2 linked regions of the Struthio camelus genome follow. The protein of the gene in region 2 interacts with the protein of the main gene of each other region in a pairwise test. Links are inferred from orthologs where the notes say so. Each region holds a gene or a part of one and is shown on either strand. Other genes may lie near its edges.

What was found. The genes of interacting proteins can lie anywhere in the genome.
Region 1: the proteins of EHHADH (region 2) and TPP2 interact in binary tests that used the Homo sapiens proteins (3 or more experiments, as listed by UniProt). The two-hybrid records come from large-scale screens. The link is inferred for Struthio camelus from reciprocal best matches to the Homo sapiens genes EHHADH and TPP2.

The regions. Positions count from the first base shown.
Region 1 is NC_090942.1:162,705,783-162,716,478, reverse strand, and holds the start of TPP2 (tripeptidyl-peptidase 2), read left to right. Parts: upstream 1-5,692; 5' UTR 5,693-5,785; coding exon 5,786-5,947; intron 5,948-9,938; coding exon 9,939-10,067; intron 10,068-10,696. UniProt on the Homo sapiens protein: Cytosolic tripeptidyl-peptidase that releases N-terminal tripeptides from polypeptides and is a component of the proteolytic cascade acting downstream of the 26S proteasome in the ubiquitin-proteasome pathway.
Region 2 is NC_090950.1:5,242,944-5,253,309, forward strand, and holds the start of EHHADH (peroxisomal bifunctional enzyme), read left to right. Parts: upstream 1-5,037; 5' UTR 5,038-5,088; coding exon 5,089-5,162; intron 5,163-10,366. UniProt on the Homo sapiens protein: Peroxisomal trifunctional enzyme possessing 2-enoyl-CoA hydratase, 3-hydroxyacyl-CoA dehydrogenase, and delta 3, delta 2-enoyl-CoA isomerase activities. Catalyzes two of the four reactions of the long chain fatty acids peroxisomal beta-oxidation pathway.

The sequences.
Region 1 (10,696 bases), on a different chromosome or scaffold from region 2:
CAGCAATTTCTTTGCTCATTTCTGCAGCAAAGTTCTGTCCTCCTCCGATGAAAGCATGGTTGTCTCAGATTCATATATACTCTTAAACAGAATACATTATCTTCGCTTTGAACGCTTTCCAGTTAGAAAACAGACCATGAAGGTCACATTTGTCAGCTAAGGTATCCTCATTGTTCTGTGTATACCTTTGCAAACCTCAGCCACAAGTTAACCTTGTAATTCTAATTGATTTCTTCGATAGTTTGTCTCGTTTCCCACCTGTGGGGCAAAAATTGCATGTCTAATTTTCACAGAGAAGATAAGTTCCACGGAAGTAACTTTGCGATTGAACACAACTTCCAATAATTCAGGCAACTCCTGAGAAGGAACGCTCATCATAGGGACAGTTGACAACTGCATTTGGCAGTGGTCTTCAAGGCTCTGTGGACTGGAGGTACAATTCTCTCCTTTCTCTCTCTTTATACCAAAGTGAAAAATAGAAATGTGCAAATGATTTTTTAGCTACATTGAAGAGAAAAGGCGAACATGCCATTTTGTTTTGTGCCTTTATTTTCAAGGGAAAAAAAAATTTCAAAAAACAACCCTAGTAGTAATTTTGTCATACATGGCACGCAGAAGACCACTAGATGTACAGTATGAGGTTGAATTGGTACTGTGTTTATCTGCAGCTTTTTGCTGAGGCCAGTTTCTTGCTAAATGAACCCTACCTTCTTAATTTTTCATCTTGAATGAGTTTTAAGTAGCATTATTGAGAAAATGCTTAAACTCACAATGAGCTCTCCATACGGGTACCATTTCAGACTATTTTTTACAATTTAGTACATGAGAACATAGCCTACAACCTTTAGCTGGGCCTCCAGAGTCTCTGCATAGAGAATGGTAGGAATTGATTAAATTTGCCTCAGATAACTCCCAAGGGCGTATTTGAAATATGTTTACATGGGAGAATAATAAAAGCCAGTTGACTAATGATCTTGCTATTCTATATTTAGCAAGGAATGAATCTGGCAAAAAGACCCAACCAGATAAACAACTTAGTAAAGAGAAAACTGGGGATACGTTGTCCAGGAAGGAAGGAAGGGAAGAAGGAAAATTTGGTATCAAAAGTAAGATGGATACATGTTTCTCTCTATGAAGAAGGAATGTCAAAGTGCTCACTGCATAAATCTGATACCTTTGTTCACACAGAATTAATCTGTACTAATCACAGAATAAAAGGAGCGAAATTGAACCATCTCTAAAAATCTTTATGAGCTAGACCCACAGAAAAACTTACAGATTTGTACATACTTAGGCTCTTTGTGGAACCAAAATGCAGATGGGCCCACTGCCAGAGCGCATCCCAGACCTTTGTGCTAGTAGGGCTTTGTGCTAGACCAGGGCTCCCTGTGCCATGGTTCAACAGTTCATCTAATCTAAGATAAATCTGCACTGTCGCTGAAAGGGATGAGCCGTCTCCAGTTGCGCACCAGCACAAGTGTTCAGTAAGTGGCACTGAAACCTGTACCAGGTTCTTGAAAAGGAATCTCTTTTGTGGGATAGTTTTCAGCTAGATTTATTCCTTGATTTGGTGCACCACGCAGACACACAAGCACGAGTGCCTGGGGAAGAAAGAGAGTGTGTGGCCAAGGACAGAGAGTGCAAGGGCGTGGGAAAACGTTCTCTCTGGAGGACCTGTGTTGACTTATGCTTACATGGCACTAAGTAAAGCCCGTGTGAGTGAACAGGGAGCCACATAAGCCAAAAGGAAATGGTAGGAATTAGGTACATTCGGACACTTATGTCTTTCAAGGACCAGCTATCCCCAGAAAAAAACGGGAGTTAGATATCAAGAGTAAACCCTATCTCATAAAGCATGAATAGAAAAAGAGTCTTTTTACCGAACACCTCAGCAATTAATGAACTCGCCCACAATATGGAAGTCCCTCTCCTTCCTGAGGTGATTTGAACAAACATCCCATCTCCCAGTCTGTCAAGCTCATTCTTCTCCTTAGCATGCCACAATGAACAGATCCTATGGGTTAACAACTGGTTGCACAGATAGTGTCGGCAACCGGGTTTCATTTTCTATGACCATGGGACCCTCCTCAAGGATTGACCACTGTTGGGTAGAGCTAGGATCCACCTGACAAAATGGGTAAAAGTATCTTTGCCAACAGGTGGGCCAACCTGTGGAGGACTGATCTCTAAGAGAAATGAGCACCCATGGCTTTCATTGTTTTCAGAGGGATCTGGGCAATACCGTGCATCTTTGAAAATCAGAGTCCCAAGATGTGACAGCAGTTGCTTACTTTGGCTCAGTCCCCAGATTCAGATACGACGAGCTGAAATGGTCCCTAATAAGGAGATGTGAATCTATTTAACATAGCAAATTCACATGAACTGCTATATAAATTTAGATCCTGAGAGAGGCTAAGTCATTATTTTAATGATCAAACCATATTGTCTCAAGAAATTTTACAATAAACTCTTCTTTTGAATTTCCAACATGGCAGCTTTACTTCTGTCTTTATTTTCACTGGAACAGCTATGGTATTACTCAGAACAAAATAAAGCTCTATTTATTACAGTTCAGAAACTTATATACATTAAAGTGCACTAGTGTTGACAGTACATGTTAGCAGTATGACGTAAATATATTACAGAATTATTTTAACAATCTGCATATCCAAACTAAACCTTAGAAATTCAATAAGCTCAGAATTAAATGGTCCTAACTGGAAGACTATTACACATTGATGAGCTAGTGAGTCACCTAACAGTTAACCTGAGCAGGCACCAGCATGAGCTGTGCTGTGCTGTGCTGTGCTATGCTTCACGAATAGCTTGGCCTTGAAGCCCGCTACACTTCAGGCTGCACATATCCTTTGGCTGCAGGATAAACTTTGCTGGCTAATCATAATGGAGGAGCATGTAGCAGCTCCCACTTGGTACTGATGATTACAGCACCTTACGTCCTTGTCTTTATCTTAAAGTGAAGCAGTGAGTTTTCACTTGAACACCCTTTTGTTTGATAGTGGAAATGATGAATAGAATTATTTTCTTCTAAGAAAATCCTGTAAGAGCACTAAAGACTAAAATGTCAGTGAGCCACTTCACAGATGGGATCCCCACTACATGCCACCCCATGCCCTGCCCTGACTAGAGATCTGCCTGATGCTGTGCAACTCAGGGTTCCCAGCATATGAAGGGATGCAAGATTATCTATCCTCTTCTTCCTTCTTTTGTTAGCTCCAATCAATGGCATTTTAAGCAACACTTTACAGAATCTGAGTGCCTTTCTAACTGGGATCATAATGAACATTAGCTTCAGTGCCTTGCACCAGTGCACAAAGGTGCACTCAAAAAATCTCTATATGTTAAGGGCTGCAAATGCTCAGTAAGATAAGCAAATAAGTAAGATGATAGTAAATAAGATAAGTAAATAAGGCTGCGGTCTTAACCTTTTTCTGAAGTCATACCACATAGTAATTGTACTAATATATGAGTATGAGATTTAAAGATTGCAACTGAAATTAAATTGAATTTTCTTTTTTCTTCCAAGGTATTGCCCAAAAGTCTGCTAAAAGACGTTTGGTTTGCTTTCCCCAAATTTTCTGATTCTTCCTGCAGAGCCTGCCCTCCTACTTGGAAGCGCACGTCATATAGATAATTCTACAATTAATGTAACTGTTAATTAGAAATTTGTTTGTGGTATAATTACGACAACACAGCAACAGAACAGAGCAAAAAATTTCAGAGTTAGTAATAAATGTGTTTCAAAATTATAACATACAGATTGTTTATTAAGTGGGATATGAAACATTTTGAGAATTTGATGTCTCAAAATATACTAGCAATAGGATATATTAGACTTTTGTTGATTTAATGTGCTGCCAGAAATACAAACATCTCCCATTACAACATATGCATTAGCAATGATATGCAGAAGCAAAACTAAACTCAAATGAGCAATAACTTAGATACTGCATGAATGAATAATGGCCTTGTCAGAACAATTGTTTCCCTTAAGTATGATCAGTTAAGGTTTTATGTAATTCTAAAAAAATTGAATATGGCTGTCAGACCCCAGCAGGAGTCTAGGAAACAGTCAAGCACATCAGAGCTAGACTTCTAAATGTAAAATTTTTACTTGTGATTGAAAAACAAAGAGGGAAGCAGTAAAATAACTAGTAAAATAAGTACAGTACAGATTTGACTCTCTTTTTTTAGCTATGTATTTTTAACTGTCTGCTCATCAGGTTTTCTGTGGTACTGTAATTGCATATAAGTGCTTCAGACCTCTAAAACCATTGATGGGTTGGAGCCGTTGCCAATGGTAGCCAAAAAATGAGGAAAATGCATAATGTACCACTATCCACTAGCAAAAAACCATTTCTATTAAGAAGGAACAAGTGCCAGACTTAGTTGAAGAAAAATTCATAATGTTCGACATACATTCAGTAATAAAGAAATTTCATCAGACCCAGGAAACAAAAAAGCATTTTACAAACGGAAATATTCTCAAAAGCCAAAATCCCCTTTGCCTTGCAGACAGCGATGAAGAGATTAATGTATCCAAACAAATTTATTTTGCGCAATAAAGCTCTCTGAACAGAAACTTGCCTGAGGAAAGCGCATTGATACTGAAATAACAAGAATGGATGGCACCTTTACTGCCAATTTATATGGCTAAAGCCGGGAGTCAGGCCCTATGAACAAGATTGCTTTTTTTAAGTGCTGTATTTGGTTTCTGAGATTCTACAGTTCATTCAGTTTTTGCTGGCAAGCTTTTCTGCAATCAGGAAAGCGGGACACCGACTTTAAAACCTCTCCTAAAGCTAAGATTTATGACTTATCTCGCCAAACATTTCATTTGGAGCTGTCAATAGCCTGCAGCTAGTCTTGTTTCCCTTAGAACTAAGTAGTTGCACAGGCATTAAATCGCAGCACGCTGTAAATACCGTTTATCCCTCCCACAGTAACGGAGGTAACAGTGCCCCGGGGGGGGGCAGCTCAACCGCATAACGTGTTTTTCGCGTACAAATCAATCAGCAGAAGAGGCAACGTTTGAATATTTATAAGTTTTCATGTTGTTTTTGTTCAGCGGGTGACGGGTACCCTTCGTGCGCCACTACTGGAGTTTCCTCTCAGCGCTGCCTGAGGGATTCCCCCCACGCCGCCCGCCCGCCGCCGCCGGCCCGAGGCTGGGACGGAAAACGGCGCCCGCCCGCGGCGGAGCCGTTTTCCCTGCTTAGGCGAGGCCCGCCCGCTTCGGGAGCAGGGGATTGAGGGCGGCCCAATCAGAGCTGGAGCCCGGCCTGCTCACACGGGAAGATGGCCGTAACCCCCCACCCCGGCCACGGCCGGTGTCCCCGCAGCTCTGCCAGCCATCCGCCACCCGCCTTTGCGCTCCGCTCCGCTCCGCTCCGCTCCCCTCCCCTCCCCACCCCACCCCCGCGTCTCAGGAAGGCAGGGAGGGCGCTGGTCACTTTAAGGGCGCGGCCCCCCCGTTCCTCTCCCGCCTCCCCCGCTCTTCTCCCCCCCTCCCCAGAAGTTCCAGCGCGTGGAGAATTTCCCTTTTCTGATTGGCTGCAGCGCCGCGGGCGGGCGCCAGGACGTTGCGTGGCCTTATTGGCTGGTTTAGGCCCGGTGCGCTCGCGTTCCGGGTCGCGCCAGGGTGCGCCCCTGGGGAGGGGGCGCGCGCATGCGCCCTGGCCTCCCCGCGCCCACTGCCCCCGCCCGCCGGCTGCGCTGTGCTCTCGCGCTGCCTGGCGGCGCGCGGCCCCCGTTTCCCTTTCCCATCATGGCGGCCGCCGTGGAGGAGCCGTTCCCTTTCCACGGCCTCCTGCCCAAGAAGGAGACCGGCGCCGCCGCTTTCCTCGCCCGCTACCCCGACTTCGACGGGCGGGGGGTGCTGTTGGCGGTGCTGGACACCGGCGTGGACCCCGGCGCCCCGGGCATGCAGGTAACGGGCGGTCGCGTGCGGCGGGAGGAGCCGCTTCAGGGCGGCGGCCCTGAGTCACCGCCGACAGGCAGCGGCGGCGCCGCGCCGGGACAGGGTGGCGGGCGGCCGTTGGCTGCGAGCGGGGAGCACGGAGCGGCCGGCCCGGCGGCTGCCGGAGCCCTGGAAGCCGCCGGGGGAGGGGGGGCGGGAGGAAGGAGGTCCCCGCGGAGGGGTCGTGCCGGGACGAGGCGTCTGGCGCCCCCACGGCGGCCGTGAGAGGCTTGCGGTTGTTGTTGTTGTTGTTTTCCTTAGGATTCCCGCTAAGCATTCATGCCCGTGCTGCATTAGTGTGAGCTCCGCGGAGGTCGGCTGTGGGAGAGCGGAGAAAATCCTGTAGATCTGTGTGTTTCCCTTCGGTTATTTGTAGGAGGTTTCTTCTTTTGAGCCTTCCACAGATGCCTTAGGGCACTTAATCCCTTTGGCTGTCTCCTTTTTCGCAGAACCTACTCGAAAAGAGTGCTTCGTATTTTTCTTAAACGTTAGCGTTATTTCAGTAGTAGCAAGGGAGTTCAAACAGCCACTTAAATGTTTTGTATGAAAAATGTGTTTTAGCAAATTTTGCATACCTTTGTTGTCAATGTATTTTTCTTGTATTGCAATCAAATTTTTTATCAGATTTGTATATGCTGACCTTTTTTTACATCTGCTAGCTTTGTCTATAGCTCAGAGTACACCCCATTTGTCATTACAATCTTGATCTCAGGTTTTGTAAAATTCTGTGTAGGTGATTTTTAATTTGGACGTTTCACAGTTTTTCCTTGATTCTTTCAGTATTTGCTTTTTAACATCTTCTTAATTATGCAGTGTATATATGGCCTTTTTTGTTGCTCCTACTTCCAACTTCTCTTCAGCATGTTTTCTGTCAGGATTCGGAGAGGGTTGTATGCAGCTCCCATGGGAACTGCATCCTTTATATAAGCAGGGATTGTGGTGGTTTCTGCTCTTTATTTGGCACTGGTGCAGATTTTACTCTTCAGTGACCTAGCTCAGAGGCCTAACTTTGATCTTTAAGTTCAGCTTTCTGAACTGACTCCTTGTGGGGTTCAGGTAAGTGTTTCACATGTGAAAGCAAAAAATCTGAATCTCTAGGGGTTGCGTATGTGAGGAACAAAGAAAGCATGAGTTTGCACGGTTGAGACTAAGACATGCTATAAAATATTTTAATTATATAGTAATTTCTTTTTTTAAAATTTTGGGGTGAAAACATTCTTTACATCTATAATAAATTCATTACTTAGAAAAAAATCAAATCATACAAAGAAAATTAATATCACTTAATTCTGCCCTCCCTTCCCCCCCGCCCCCAAGATAAAGGACTTCAAGGGAGAGGGGAAGACAAAAAAACAGTTGAACCGTAAGTTTCATTGTACCATTACTACTGGTGGGCAGTGTGCCAAACAATTCATGTCAGCACTGAAAGCTCTATCAGTTACTTTACGCTAAATGACTGTGAATCGGACTGGATCGCTGCCATTAGGAATTGAACCTTAGACCTTTGCACTTGAAACTCAAGTTTCTTGTGTCTGACCTGAAAGACTGATTTGTTGATTCTGATTGCACAGACATGTACGCATGTGGACCTGCTATTCATATAGAGGGTGACGATCTGTACGGTGTAGGAGTTTCACATAAAATTTCTGGCTAGGAAGGAACTTTTAAAGCTACTGAAATTCACTACAGCATAAATCTATGTTCTGGCCACCTGTTGCAGTATGACTCACCAGTGTCAAAGAGGTTGCCTTGGGTTGCAATTCCATTTTTATTTTCTTGCACTTTGATCGCTGAGCAATTTATTACTTTTTTTTTTTAGAGGTATATTGAAAAATGCCCAATTCTGATAATCTCAGGTTTAGCATGCATATAATTTATTATTGGTGGAATCCTCTTTTTGGCGTAACTTCTGTTCAAGGTTACCTGTTAACTTCTCTGTGAGTGAAGACTGGCATCTGAAGGGATTAATTACAGATGATAGAAAATTCTATGGTATAAATGCCTGTGCATGGAGTTTCCCAAGTAAATTTTCACTACTACATAGCTGCTGTTCTTCTAAATGAACGTGAATTTCTGTGAGCAGAGTTAACCGTGTTGATTTCTGCAGTGAAAACTGTTCCATAGCAGGTTTCCTCAAAGCAGTATTTGTTACCTTCTGGAAAACAGAAATTTGTCTCCTGTTTATACTTGTTGCAGTATCTTTTCTTACAGCTATTTAAATTTGGATTTTTCTAAACAATGAAAATTCAAAACCTTGGAGGTATTTGTCTGTATTTGTTGAACTCCAATGTAGGCTTGACCATTGTCTTGTCTTTTTTGGCAGCAACAGAGTGACTTTTATGAAATAACTTAATTATTATCAATTTCTGTGGCTGAACTCACACTTCCAGAACATGATTTGAGCAAACCTATCTGCCATGTGTGTTAGCTGCGAGATCAGCGTTAATGGTAGAGCATAAAGGCAAGAATACCAAGCACTGAAATGCTAGAAAACAGCAAAATTTGCAGCTATTCTGAACACGAATGCTTTTTATTATTATTTTTTTTTTTTTACTTTCAGTATATTGGTGTATAGCAGGTGCTGAGAAGGTGATTTTTTTAATCAACAATCTTTAATATAAAGCTGTGAAAATAATTGCTTACAGCCAATTCATGTTGCACTTCAAGCATCTACTACTTTTTATGGAATGTAGTATGTTTGCTGAGTAAACTGATATGAAATAATAACATGCTTCATCCAGAAGGGATTACGAGAACATAGTAACATTGAATATTTTTTTCTAAATGTGTCAAGACAGTCTTATACTTTTGATAATTGTGCAGAAGGTGCTTCTGTGGAAGGGACTTTGTGTGTCGTTAGTTGTTTTTTGACACCATTAACTGTCCTTTCTCTCTAGGACGTTTTTAGTATGGTCCTTCAGGATTTTACTAGCTGTCATATGTGTTCCATGACATAGCTGTAGCTTTATACTTTATACAGTAGTTTTATTTAGCAGTGCAGATTACTGCTATAGAATAATCTTAAATTTAGGTAACACATTTATTGTTTGGTGCATTTCTTATAGTGCAATTTGTTTTGGTAAACAATTTTTTTCTTAAATTCTTCAAAAATTATATGATATGTCATTCTGCAAGATTGTGCGATATTTTCCTTCTCTTCTGAAGTAGTCTTATACCACTCTGATTTTTCCATTCTTACCCTTCAAAACACTATTATTATCTCTGTCTGTGATTGGGTAGATATGGACTTCTTCCCAGTAGGCCAATGACTGCTGTCAAGACTGTTAGGGCTAGTTTTCATTTAATTTGAGGAGATTTTAAAATTTTGCTCTTCCCAGACAGATACCTTTCCTGTCTCTTCACCCTCCTAAAAGTACTCTTTACACATAGCTCCTAACACTTTGAATTGTTTAAAATATGAAGCAGAATCCTCGTAACAGAAAAATAAGATGACGATATTTTGTGTAACTTTTAGGATTAAACTCAGTTAAGAGGCTCAAACATGTAAGCGCATGTAGTTCAGCAGCTTTCATCTTTCTGGAATTGTGGCATCATTACTGTAAAATTTGGCCAGAGCAGTAGGATGAAAGCAATGTTGTAAATGTTTTGAAAGAAAATTGTAATTTTGCAGACTTAGGGAAAACTTACTGGAAGGTTTGGTTCTAAATATGAGCTTCTGAGCATTATTAATAAATTTTTTTTTTTACTTGTTTCTCTTGTAAGACACTTTTAGAAATGAGTTAATAGTTTATTTAAGGTGAGGAAGATGCACAAGTTCATTAAAAATTTAACTAATTTCAAAGAGCTTTTTATGCCCCTCAGTTAAAGGTAGGGTACTTAAAAAAAAAAAAAAAAAAAAAAATCAACTTACTTTCTTTTATTCACAAAAATGAAAATTTTCCTGGTCTGTATGTTGAAGAATAATTGACTGCATCTTCAAGTATTCTGCTCATATTTTCAGATTACAACTGATGGGAAACCCAAAATAATTGATATAATTGATACAACAGGCAGTGGTGATGTAACTACATGTACTGTAGTAGAACCTAAAGATGGAGAAATTATCGGTCTTTCTGGAAGAACTTTAAAGGTGAGATTTCATATAGTGGCTACTGGGCATCTTTCTTCTCTCTAACAACAGATTTAGCACTAATTTTTGTTCTTGCAGGTTTTTTTTCCTTTTAATGAGTCCCTATCAAACCTAATTCAGCATTTGTTCATCTTCATCCAGATTGCTCTGTTTAATATGAAATTTTTTTAGTTGTCATGTGTCTTTATATAGCAAATTCTCTGGACTGGAGTTGAAGTGCAGGTAGCTACAGAGTTTTATTGGGGACTCAGTAATCATTTAGTATGCTGCTCTTTTATTCAAATCAGTTTCTGATACAGTTTTGAAAGTTGGCTGAAGAAAGCATGCTAACGTGTTTTAAAAAGATCTAAAGAGACTTACTGTTCTGCTTTGAAATATGCTAGTGTATTTCACATTTGTGTGAATTACAGGAGGAGTCATCCTGTTAAACTCATGGAAAACAGTTGTGGTGACTGAAGAATCTGGGAGGACTTACTTACAGGCGCAGTGTACTCTCACTGTTAACAAAACAGGCATAGGATTTTTAGAAAGGATGTGATGACATCAGCTATGTTGGACTGCTGATATTACTGCCATGTTCTCATTTGGGTGTTTAGGTTGATAAAACGTTAGGAGCACATCAAGTCTTT
Region 2 (10,366 bases):
CCCTGCCCTCGGAGCCTTCGGAGCTGCCAGGAGCCAGGACGCGTGCTTGTGGCAGGCCCAAGACATGCGGGACAGACGTTGCTTCCCACACCACTCCCGGGAGACCAGGGTGGTTTTGCTTTCAGTCAGCCCCAAGGAATCCCCCCTCAGCAATGGCACTCCAAAGAATGGAGTAAAGCCTCAAGGAGACAAGTTGTCCTGGCCTGAAAGCTGTGCCACTATGCTTTCTACACCTGCATAAATGCATTTGAAAAGCAAATGAGGGGCTTGCTTACGAGAAGGTGTACAATATTAGTGACTTACTGGATACGCAACTGTTCTCTACCTATAGCCATAGTTTTAAGTACATATTAATAAATTAAGTGACAAATACTGCATTTAAATGTGCCCAGGCTTTGGTCTAGAAGATGGAACAGGGCGCAAAGTTTCCCAGACCTTTTAAACTCTTTTTGCCGAAGGGAAGATGCCCAAAAGGCATGCCCAGTCAGAATGAAGAGTTTTTAAACAAGTCTTTATCCCATCTAGCGGCTTTTTTTGCTAAAACAACATTGTACAACTGAACAGCATTCTATGACTGAGGCTCTTCAGTGGGATTTTAAACTCTAAGATGGGATGATATTTTACAGCCCACAATATTGCTCTGTAGATGTAGTTACCACACTTACAGAGCTCTAGCCATGCCTTTCAAAGAATTACACATATACCAGCCCCAAGGCAATGAACTCCTCCAACTCACTGAGGATCTGGAAGGCTGGTGTTGGAGAGCGTTTAGAACAGGACCGTACACTTAGCGAAGGAGATCATGGAAGAGTGTGCGCAACCAAAGGAGTCTTTGAAAACTCTTCTATGATCAGCTGTTTACCAGTAACTGGTAAAGTAGAGCAGAGAACTGTGCACAGGATAAAAGATCATAGGGGTGAGGAGATCAATAGCCCTTTTTACACTGAAGAATTAAAAAAAGAAAGCCCCCAAAACTGAGAAAGTTGTTGCTGTAAAAAGGAAAGCAGAAAACAGCTATTGGCAAATTTAGCAGCCCCTCCGAGCCATTTCAACAGAAGGGTGTAATTCAAGCCTGATGTTTAGACCAGCTGCTGTCAAGAAAGAATGAGTTTTCAGAGCTCTTACCCTTCTCAGGAGTGTGACCGCAGGTTTTACTACAACACCTCAGCTCAGATTTTACGATGCAGCTAGTTGGTTCTTCCGTATTCCTAGGAAGCAGTTTTAGTGGAAATAAATACACTATTCTTATAGTTGGAACAACCTCACTGTAAATACTCCTTCTGAAATGCCTTTAGGGTCAGAAATGGACATGCTTGGTTCAACTAGTCTAATAGTCATTTCTCAAGATATACTGGTCCGTGTGAATAAGATTATAGCAAAATGAAGCTGCATCTTCTGAAGTACCTCTGATCAATGATCTGCTGGAAGAAAAATGATCCTGAGCCCCTTGTAAAACGTTTGTGTGTCTCATTCAGTACTTCTGGAGTAAGGCTGATGATCTCAGGAGGCTGTAGGGGACTTAGACTCGTGTTGCTCCTGCTTGGGAAGAAGCGGAGTTCTTTTTCTTCTATCCGCAGCACAAACTGCATATTCATTTAAATTTGTCCTTTGGTGAATACCCCTCATCTCCATTTCTAGTAATGGAGTATGGCTTTTATATTCTCCTCTTGAGAAGCTTTCCGCTTCTCCAGAATTGGAATGGGCACCGGGTATATTTTCTGAGCATTTTCCTCTACTACTTAATGAAAAGACGAGTAATCAAAGGGATGACAAAAGTTAACAACACTCAAAGGACTATCCACAAACTAGCTTGCCGTCTGCTCCTTCATGTTGAAAGAAAGCCCTTGGTTACTCGGGCTTTTACACAGGCTTAAGCTTCTTCCATAACCATAGTTTACTTCTGAAATGGCATCCACTGTCCCAGAGACAGAACAGTGTAGGGCTGGCCTTTAGCAAAGGATGAACAGATGCGAAATTTTAGACAGGCAGTTCTAGCTATATTTCTCTTCCTACAGCAGGATGTCTTTTCTTCTGGTAGGCCTGGGGCTGAGAAGGCTGCCACTCCATCCTCTGATTTTGTAGCCAGCAGGGTTTTTTAGTCAAACTGTCAGCCAATCTGGAGGGCAGAGCCCTGTTCCACACAGTAGGGCCTTGGAAGTAGGAGCAGTTGATACCTCTACAAGCTGTTGGTGAAGTTCTCAAAAACTTCGAGGAAGAAAGCTGACCATCCTGGTTACAATTTGTCAAGGCCAAGTGCACCAACAGGCTCTGCAACCTCTTCCCACCACCTATGGCTGCCTGTACTCAAGGTCAGCTCTGATACAGCACAGTTGGGTAGGCTTGGATCAGATTGCTGTGAAAACAGCTAGGCTGTGAGGAAAAAACAGTAAGTAGCCTTATCTGGGACCCCTACCCTTCGTTGGCTCGGGAGCTGTGTTTAAGCTCAGGTCCTTGCACAACTCAGCACAGAACAGGTTAAAAACTTCACAGAAAGCTCTGAAGACTTTAATCCCTCTGCCATGTGCGTAACCCTTAGTTGTGCATTCACCTTAAATGCCCTTCCATCTCTTATTACCAAGCCCTCTTCATCTTTAAGAAAAAAAGAAGACAAACACAAAGCTTATAACAGTAAGCCTTATTTACTGGAACGTTTTCCTCAATCTGTAAAATCAGTGAGCTGTTTTTTTCTTCATGAGAATTCTTTTCTTTTGTGTTTATTCATGCTCAGAAGGGTGCCCTGTTTTGTCACATCTATGGCAGTTACATTATTAAAAGACAACTCAAATCGACCTGTAAATTATAAACAGAAAGTGCAACTCACCCAAGCGATCTTTTGTTTTCTGCTAGTTAATGAAAAAACAACAGATCAGTTAGCCCCCACAACTCCAAGGCATAGTTTTATGCACTCCCAAAATACACTGCTTTTACCTGCAAATTGCAGAGTATTCTCTCTCCTGTAAAAAACAAAAACAGACTTTTAAATTTTCATGGCTTAACAAATTGCAGAAGAGTTCTAGCGGCTCCACCACAATAGCAATGAAATAAGGAAGGCAGCAGTTGCTGTGAGTGAAGGCTGTATGTTAGCACAGACCTTTCCATACTCCTAAATCTAGTGCTAAAACAATCAGTACCTGTTCCAGAGCTGTTGAGGCAGCTGCAGCCATTCTGCCCAGTGGGTGACTTTTAAAGGCCAAGAAATATAAAATTATATCAAGCAGAGAAGTTCAGTTTCCACAAGCTCATTAGGATAAACTACAGCCCACCCAATAGACTGAGCTGACACCTTGCAACAGCCAGGGACAGAGAGGCCTTGTTGCATACCCATCACTGGGAGAAGCACGTGTGGTTGCTCCGCAGAGCTCACCCTGTGATTCACAGAGATCTGTGGACTGGCGCTGACTTGGCTCTTACTCAGCTCTACAAGCAGATGTTTTTGTAGCATCCTCGTCGTGTCTTTTGTATTGGTTCCTGAACACCTGCATCAGGGATGGTCATGTAACAGCACAACAAGACACCAACAGACGCGTACGAAATGTAGTCGGTTCTTCAACATCCAGGAGTCTTTCCTCTGAAAAACCTTTTCTTTCCCTTAAATTACACGTTAGCCCAAAAGATATATTTATTAGCTTTTCTGTATCAACTAAAAATCATGTGGGTCTTAGTCTCTTGCAGAGTTTTTAACAGCACCAACCCTTGTAACAGAAGTTTTCTATTTAAAAGCAAAGCACCTGTTGCATATCATAAAGCAACAATAATGTGCAGCATGCTTTCCAAACATATGTCAGCACAGGTATGGCAAAGGCTCTGGTTTATGTCAGCATCAGTTGAAATCAAACAACTGTGGCTGTCCTAATTGAGTGTGCATCTACACTGTGACCCTGCCAGGCGTTTAGACTGTGTTTTAGCATGCTATAAAAAATTGCTCTTACAAGACCCTTCATCATTTTCTGGCAATTGCCCCACAACTCAGGCTCTACTAGTTACCTATGTAGTGAAAGTCTGCAGATAAATTATGTCTTAGCAGCCTTTTTTGGTGACTGTAGCACTTCACAGTCTTGGCTCTGGGTCAAAGCCAGCTCAGTTCCCTATGCTCAGTGTTTATGAATCCAACATATGTCTTCTGGGGGCTCTGAATCTCCACAGTAATATAAGAAGGGGCCTGATTGCCAGGACATGAGACCTGCTGAGAGCGGGGTGCCCATCAAGGTGGAGGCGCTGCTTATCTCAATGGTGGCTGCACCTTCATACTCCTGTGAATTACCCTTCTACCGGGACTCCGGATGTGTAGGGACCCATCAGTGCCTTGTCCTTGCCCAACGCAAGGAAAGATGTTCAACAATATGCTTCTCTCCTAAGAGCCCGGGGGGATTTCTCTGTGCTGTGCTTGTACATGGGGTGAAATACATCACTTTGTGTGTATGCACAGTGCTGCTTTGTGATGAAACGGGGATTTATAGTTCAGCAGCTCTGTGCTATGTGTTTTCATACCTCCCGTGCTGAGGGAGGGAAAGTGTGCTCCTTCCAGAAGGCATGTTTGTATCTCACTATTGCGCTGAGGGACTATATATAAAAATAATGTGCAAAGAGACTGAGCATCCATAACTTGTTAGAAACCACTTCTTAACACTAATCACTGCATCTCTTTAGTCTCTGCTTCAGCAGATTCAGCGATTTGTTCCTCCAGACAGGGGAACGTATAGCCATTTCTCATTGATCTCTACCTCGAGAAAGGTCCGTAATTCATTGCCCTTAGCCTGCAGCAGCATGTGGCTCTCTAGGGTTTCTAACGGCAGCAAAAGGAAGACCAAGGATAAGATAACAGGGGCCTGCTGCTGAGTGAGGTGGGCAAACTAGCAATGAAGGCAGAGATGAGACCAGTGTCTTTGTGCACGTGGCCGTCTGTGGGAGCGGGACACACCGCGGCGGGGCAGGCACCGCCGGGGCCGCTCCTCGCCGGGGCCGCTCCTCGCCGGGGCTGCTCCTTGCCGGGGCCCCTCGCTCCCGGGCAGGGTGCCCAGGGCCGCCCCGGGGGCCGGGCCAGGCCGGGCCGGGTGGAGCGGAGCAGAGCAGAGCAGCTCAGTGCTCGCCATGGCACAGTACGTGAGGGGTGCCGCCGCCGTGGCCGTCATCCGCCTCCGAAACCCGCCGGTCAACGCGCTGAGGTAATGGCGGGGCAGGGCCGGGCGGGCTCCCCAGCAGCTGCCGGGGCGGCCCGGGGTCCTCCCCACCTTCCTCCATACCTTCCTGCGCTTTCCTTCCTTTTAACCTCGCTTTCTTCCACCCTTTCCCTACTGACCTGTTGTACAGCCCTTTCTACCGAGCCCAGCGCAAGCTGGTCCTTAACTACATCTGGCCGGGGAGCTCGCTGAAGGTGTTTGGGTTCCTGAGCAAATGCTATCAGCCTGGCTGACTCCCTCAGAAAACTGGCAGCTGCTTTTGAGCTTAAACTTCTCTTTGCAAAAAACATGCCCTGTTTTTCCGTGGCTTCTCTTCTCTTTATTGTAATTTCTATTGATTTATGCAGGAGAGATGTCAGGCTTACCAATGTGTGCTTTCTCTGGTGTCCCCTGGAATCCTTTTTAAAACTTAACACATTTCTCATCACCTGGCAGTCTTTAAGTATGAAGGTGATGCTTCCAGCAAGAAATTACACACCATCATTAGTAGTTGAGCTATTTCATCCCAGAGATCCTTCAGAGCTCCTGGGTGAAAACACCTGGTGCTTTAAGCTTTGTTACTGTTCAGTTTATTTCCCTGTTCCACGTGCTCAGAAGTGCTTGCGCAGCGATTGCAGGCAGGCTGGTGTCTGCACTTCCAAGTGAACACAAGGGTTGAGGCAAAGGACTTTGTAAACAGGCAACGTGGCTGAGCAAGAGGAGCGAGAGCCCCTGGCTGACTGGGCTGCCGTTCAAGGTACGGCAGGAGGTACACGGCCAGAAGTGAGGATGGATTAGTCCACAGTGAGGGCTGTCACACTAGACAGGTAATTTGCTTTTTAAAAATAGTTAAGGAATTGACCTCTAAATGGTGCTCTTGGTCAAGAAAGTCCCCAAGCAATCTCAAATGCAAGCCAGAGAAAAACATAGTCCAACACAGGCCAGAGAAAAACAAACACAAATGTATAGTAGCATCTGAAAGTGTAGTTTCTCATGTGTTTGAAAAGGACATATATGTTATTCTTCTTTAAATAATTTGGTCTAAGGTTTGTGTATTTTTCAGTTCATTTAGCTCTAAGCAGCACACAGACCCTTTGCAAGCAGCTGTGGTTGAGCCGTGTTGTAACAGGCCCCACGGTGTATGCTGATGCTTTTGCAGGAGCCAGAAAATCCACTGAAGTTATGCTCAACTTCTGTACCAGCACACCTGTTAAAAAGAAGCTGAGAGAGACAAGTAAGAGCACGAACAGGAGATACCAGCTGCTGCCACAAGCCATAGCAAGCTGCATTGTTCTGCAATAGCTGCCAATGCTTGCTCTTCTTTTGCAACACGTCTGAAAGAGGAGTAAGATAATTTTCCTGTCCCCTGATAATTATCATGAGAAAACAAACTTGGAGTAACTTAATGAGATTAGATGAACTAGACTTGTAAGGCTCCCAGAAGTGCCAGGTGCAAAGTGTCCCTTGGACCAGCTTGTGCCTAAAAGCTAGGAAAACTAGCTTGACTAGGCTAGGAAAACTTCCAAGCTGTTCCCACAGTGAACTTTTCATCCTTACCATGAAAAGTTCAAACTACAGAACTAAACATAAGCGCTCAGGCATCCTTAACTGTCTCTTTTGAGCAGTCTGTGATAAAACCTAAAGTGCTCTCTTTGCCTTCGAGCACCAGCAGCATGCATCTGCATAACAGCCTCTTAAATACATCTCCCTGCCTCTGTTTCCATTTGCCAAGCTCTTCCTCCTTCCGCCTGCACAGGGCACAGCTCCATGACACTGCAGGCCAAAGTGGGTATGGTCTTGGTCCTGCTCTTTTCCCCTGCCACAGGAGGGAGAAGCTACTTTAGAGCCATTTAAAAGGCCGTTTCCAACGAATGCTGCATCATCACTGCCACCATAGCTATTTTGTGCTGCCCGCACTCTTCTGTTGGCCGACAGCCCCACGGCAAGAGGGCCCTGACAGGCCTGTGTATTTTTCCAGAGTAGACTCGTTCCCTAATGTTGAGCTCCATAGCACCATAACGCAACTTAAGCTGGGGCTGCATCATCCTGGCCATGGTTTCTCGCAGCCTCCGCTGTGCTAGCAGGGACTACGTAGTGAGCCAGTTCGGGGAGATAATGTGCCTAAACACTAGCCTGCTTATTTGCTTTTGCCTTTCCCTCAGTCCAGCTCCGTGTGTCAGCACCCTGTGCTGTTGCACGCATAGCAGTGCAGGCGTGAGGGACAGAGTGGGAAAGGACTAGAAGCTGCAGAGCGTGAATTTAGATCAGGTTAAGCAGCTATGAGACCTAAGCTTGAGACATGCCTCTGGTCTTTGATTGCACCTAAGGGGATAGGACAGAGGGACTTGGCTTGTCCTGGTTGTCTTGTATCAAGAGGTTCCAGCTAACAGCTCCACTGGTCGAGACAGCTAATGCTGGCTGGAATGTGGTGGAGGTACTTCTACCTGAGAGCAAGTAGCTTCAGAAAGAAAACTCAGTTTGCATGGGCTCTTACTTTATTTCTTAATTTATTAAGAAGACCCACTGAATTTGCAAGGAGCAAGCGTGGAGGACACACTGAGCTCAGCCTTAGCTGGGTTTGCATCATTTTGTTTTCTCTTATGTTAGGACCTGTTTCAGTAGGCGTCAGTATTTATCACATACTTGCAGCCAGGCAGCTTTTAGCTGAGACCTTACTGTAGCTAGGAAAGGGAGAGGGCACTTTGTGAGCCACGTCTCCTCCTCCTGCTTCTGTATATGTTGTATACGTTGCTATAGTGGAGTAGGTTTGTGATTGCTATCTGAAATGTTTGCCACTGTAGGTGATAGCAGGCAGTGAAAGGTTCAGGTTGCAACCATGTCCCACCATCCCGACAATTTAATTTCATAACAGGCCCAGATGCTTTTTAAAAGGCTGGTGCGTTTTTCCCACTCTCCTCTGCATCAGCCTCACCTCTCTCTCCCTATGGTACGTGGTGCTCAGTGCTGTCATCCAAGCAAGCGTTCACACCTTCGCATGCAGCCATTAGCACTTTAGAGGCCACTGGTGGGTAGGAATTTGCTCTTTGCCGTCTGACGCCATCTGCGGCCACGTAGGTACCTCACAGACAGCCCTTTCCCAAGCAATGTGTGCTCACTTGTGAGTGCTGTAGCAAATCACCCTCATTTTTCTTCCGTCCTCTCTGCTCCTCTTTAGCTCTGCCTTTGCTCCCCTCCAGAGACTCCCCTTGCCTCCATGGCATGTGCCAAACTTTTTTTTTTTTCCTGAATTTGCAGAGGTTTCATTTTCAGAGATCTGCAGTCCTAAAGCAGTCCTATGAGACCATGGAGCAGAGGGAAGGGATGAGACATCCCTCCAGCCAAAAGGCTGGGAGGGGGATTAAGGTCAAGGTTTACAAAATTGTAGAGAAGGTAGCTAAGTTAAAGGCATAACTGTTATTTACCAAATCCTGTGGTAGTTGATTTGATTAAACTGGTAGGAGATTGGTTTAAAACAGATAATGTATTTCTGTACAGACAGTACAGAGCTTGATGCCACAGGAGCCTGTGGAGGCAGATGGGATCGGCAGATCAGAAAGGGATTAGACAAATTTGTGGACAGCAGGTCCATCCATGGATGCTAAAAAGACTGGATATGATGTACACAGTAACATCCCTAATACAGGGATTGCAGCTGTTGGGGGAATACCAGGGGAAGGGACCAGATTTGCACGTTCTCCATAAATGGCATTTTCTGTTAGAGACAGTGTATTGGAGTCTGACTTCTTCAAAGGTGGCTGAGCTTATTTTCAGGATTCCCTTAAACTGCTTTTTTTAAAAGCAAAGGATGTTCACATTCCCCAATCCTCACTAAAATCCAAAATTGTTATGGTGAATGATAAGACCGTCTTACAAATCCAGCACACTGTCATTGCAATAAGTAGAGTTTTATTCAAAATGGAAATAACCTGGTACGGTCACACGCAGGAATATTCTTTTGTCCTGGGGGGTGCACATCTTATTTAACATCACCTACCATGCATTCCTGAAATACTTATCATTGAATCATCTTGGCATAATCACTTTTCTTGCAGTCAAGATAATATACATGTGGTAGGACTGACTATATAGCAAGGGATTAAGTATTGATTGAAATGCATATAGTGAATTTCTGCATTGTTACTGTTAAATGAATGATACTTCAAGGTAATGAAATACTTATGCAAATTATGGTGACTTTTTTTGTTTCTTTTACACTCTAGCTATTTAAAGTGGTGATATTTTTCTAATTTTACTATCACACATTTTACTATGATGCTTTCTTTGAAAGTTATGTCTTTTAGTACCAGTTGTAATGTATGAGTTAGTTACAAAGCAATAGAGCCTCTGTGTTGGACTGTAACATACATCCTGGGGAAAACATATTCCTTTATCTTATGAGAAGAAGAGGCTGCAAAAAATCTGATGTTGCTTCCTTTTTGTGCCACAAAAAAAGTCTCACTGGGAAAAAGATGTATGGAGGAGGAAGAAATATTTATGCAACAACAGGGTCAAGTTATTCTCTGGAAAAAGGAGTTTTGTTGCATTAATACAAGTAATATAGGTATTGAACTGTTCTTTTGGGGTGGCCTGAATGACTAATTTTTCTTTGGGTAGAAGGAGTATATTGTTGTAAATGCTACAGACTTGGAAATAATTTCCTACATAAGATCTCAAACCTTTCCTGCTGATGCAGACAAACCTTTTATTTGGCTAGTTCGCATCTGCTCAGCGTGTGCATGCTGCAGACACAGAAATGTCTGATCGCTTCTTATCTGTTCCTCAGGCTTGAATATGTGCTCTACACAATATTTTCAGATCAGTAATTTAACGTTTGTTCAGGATCCTGGTACATACTTTTTTTTTCCCTCTTTGCGCCATGGTTTGTTAATCGTCATGACATTTCATAATGGTTTTCTCTTTAATCTTCCTGCTGCTAGGTGCGTTTGGTATTTCTGTGGCCTGGTACTGCACTGGTACAGAAAACGGTCATCGAGGAGCAGAGAGCATCGGGTGCAGCCTGCTGGCCCTCCTCAGATAGCAGCCGCAGCACTTGATGTGACAAAGGGGATGACATAAAAACAAGTTTTTTAATATGTATTTTTTCCCCATAGAATATGAAAACATTTATTAAACTGGGAAAGGCTTTCATAGTCTGGTGTTCGAAACCTTATGCACTGAAAGGACCTTTACAGGTTCAGCTCATAGTTTGT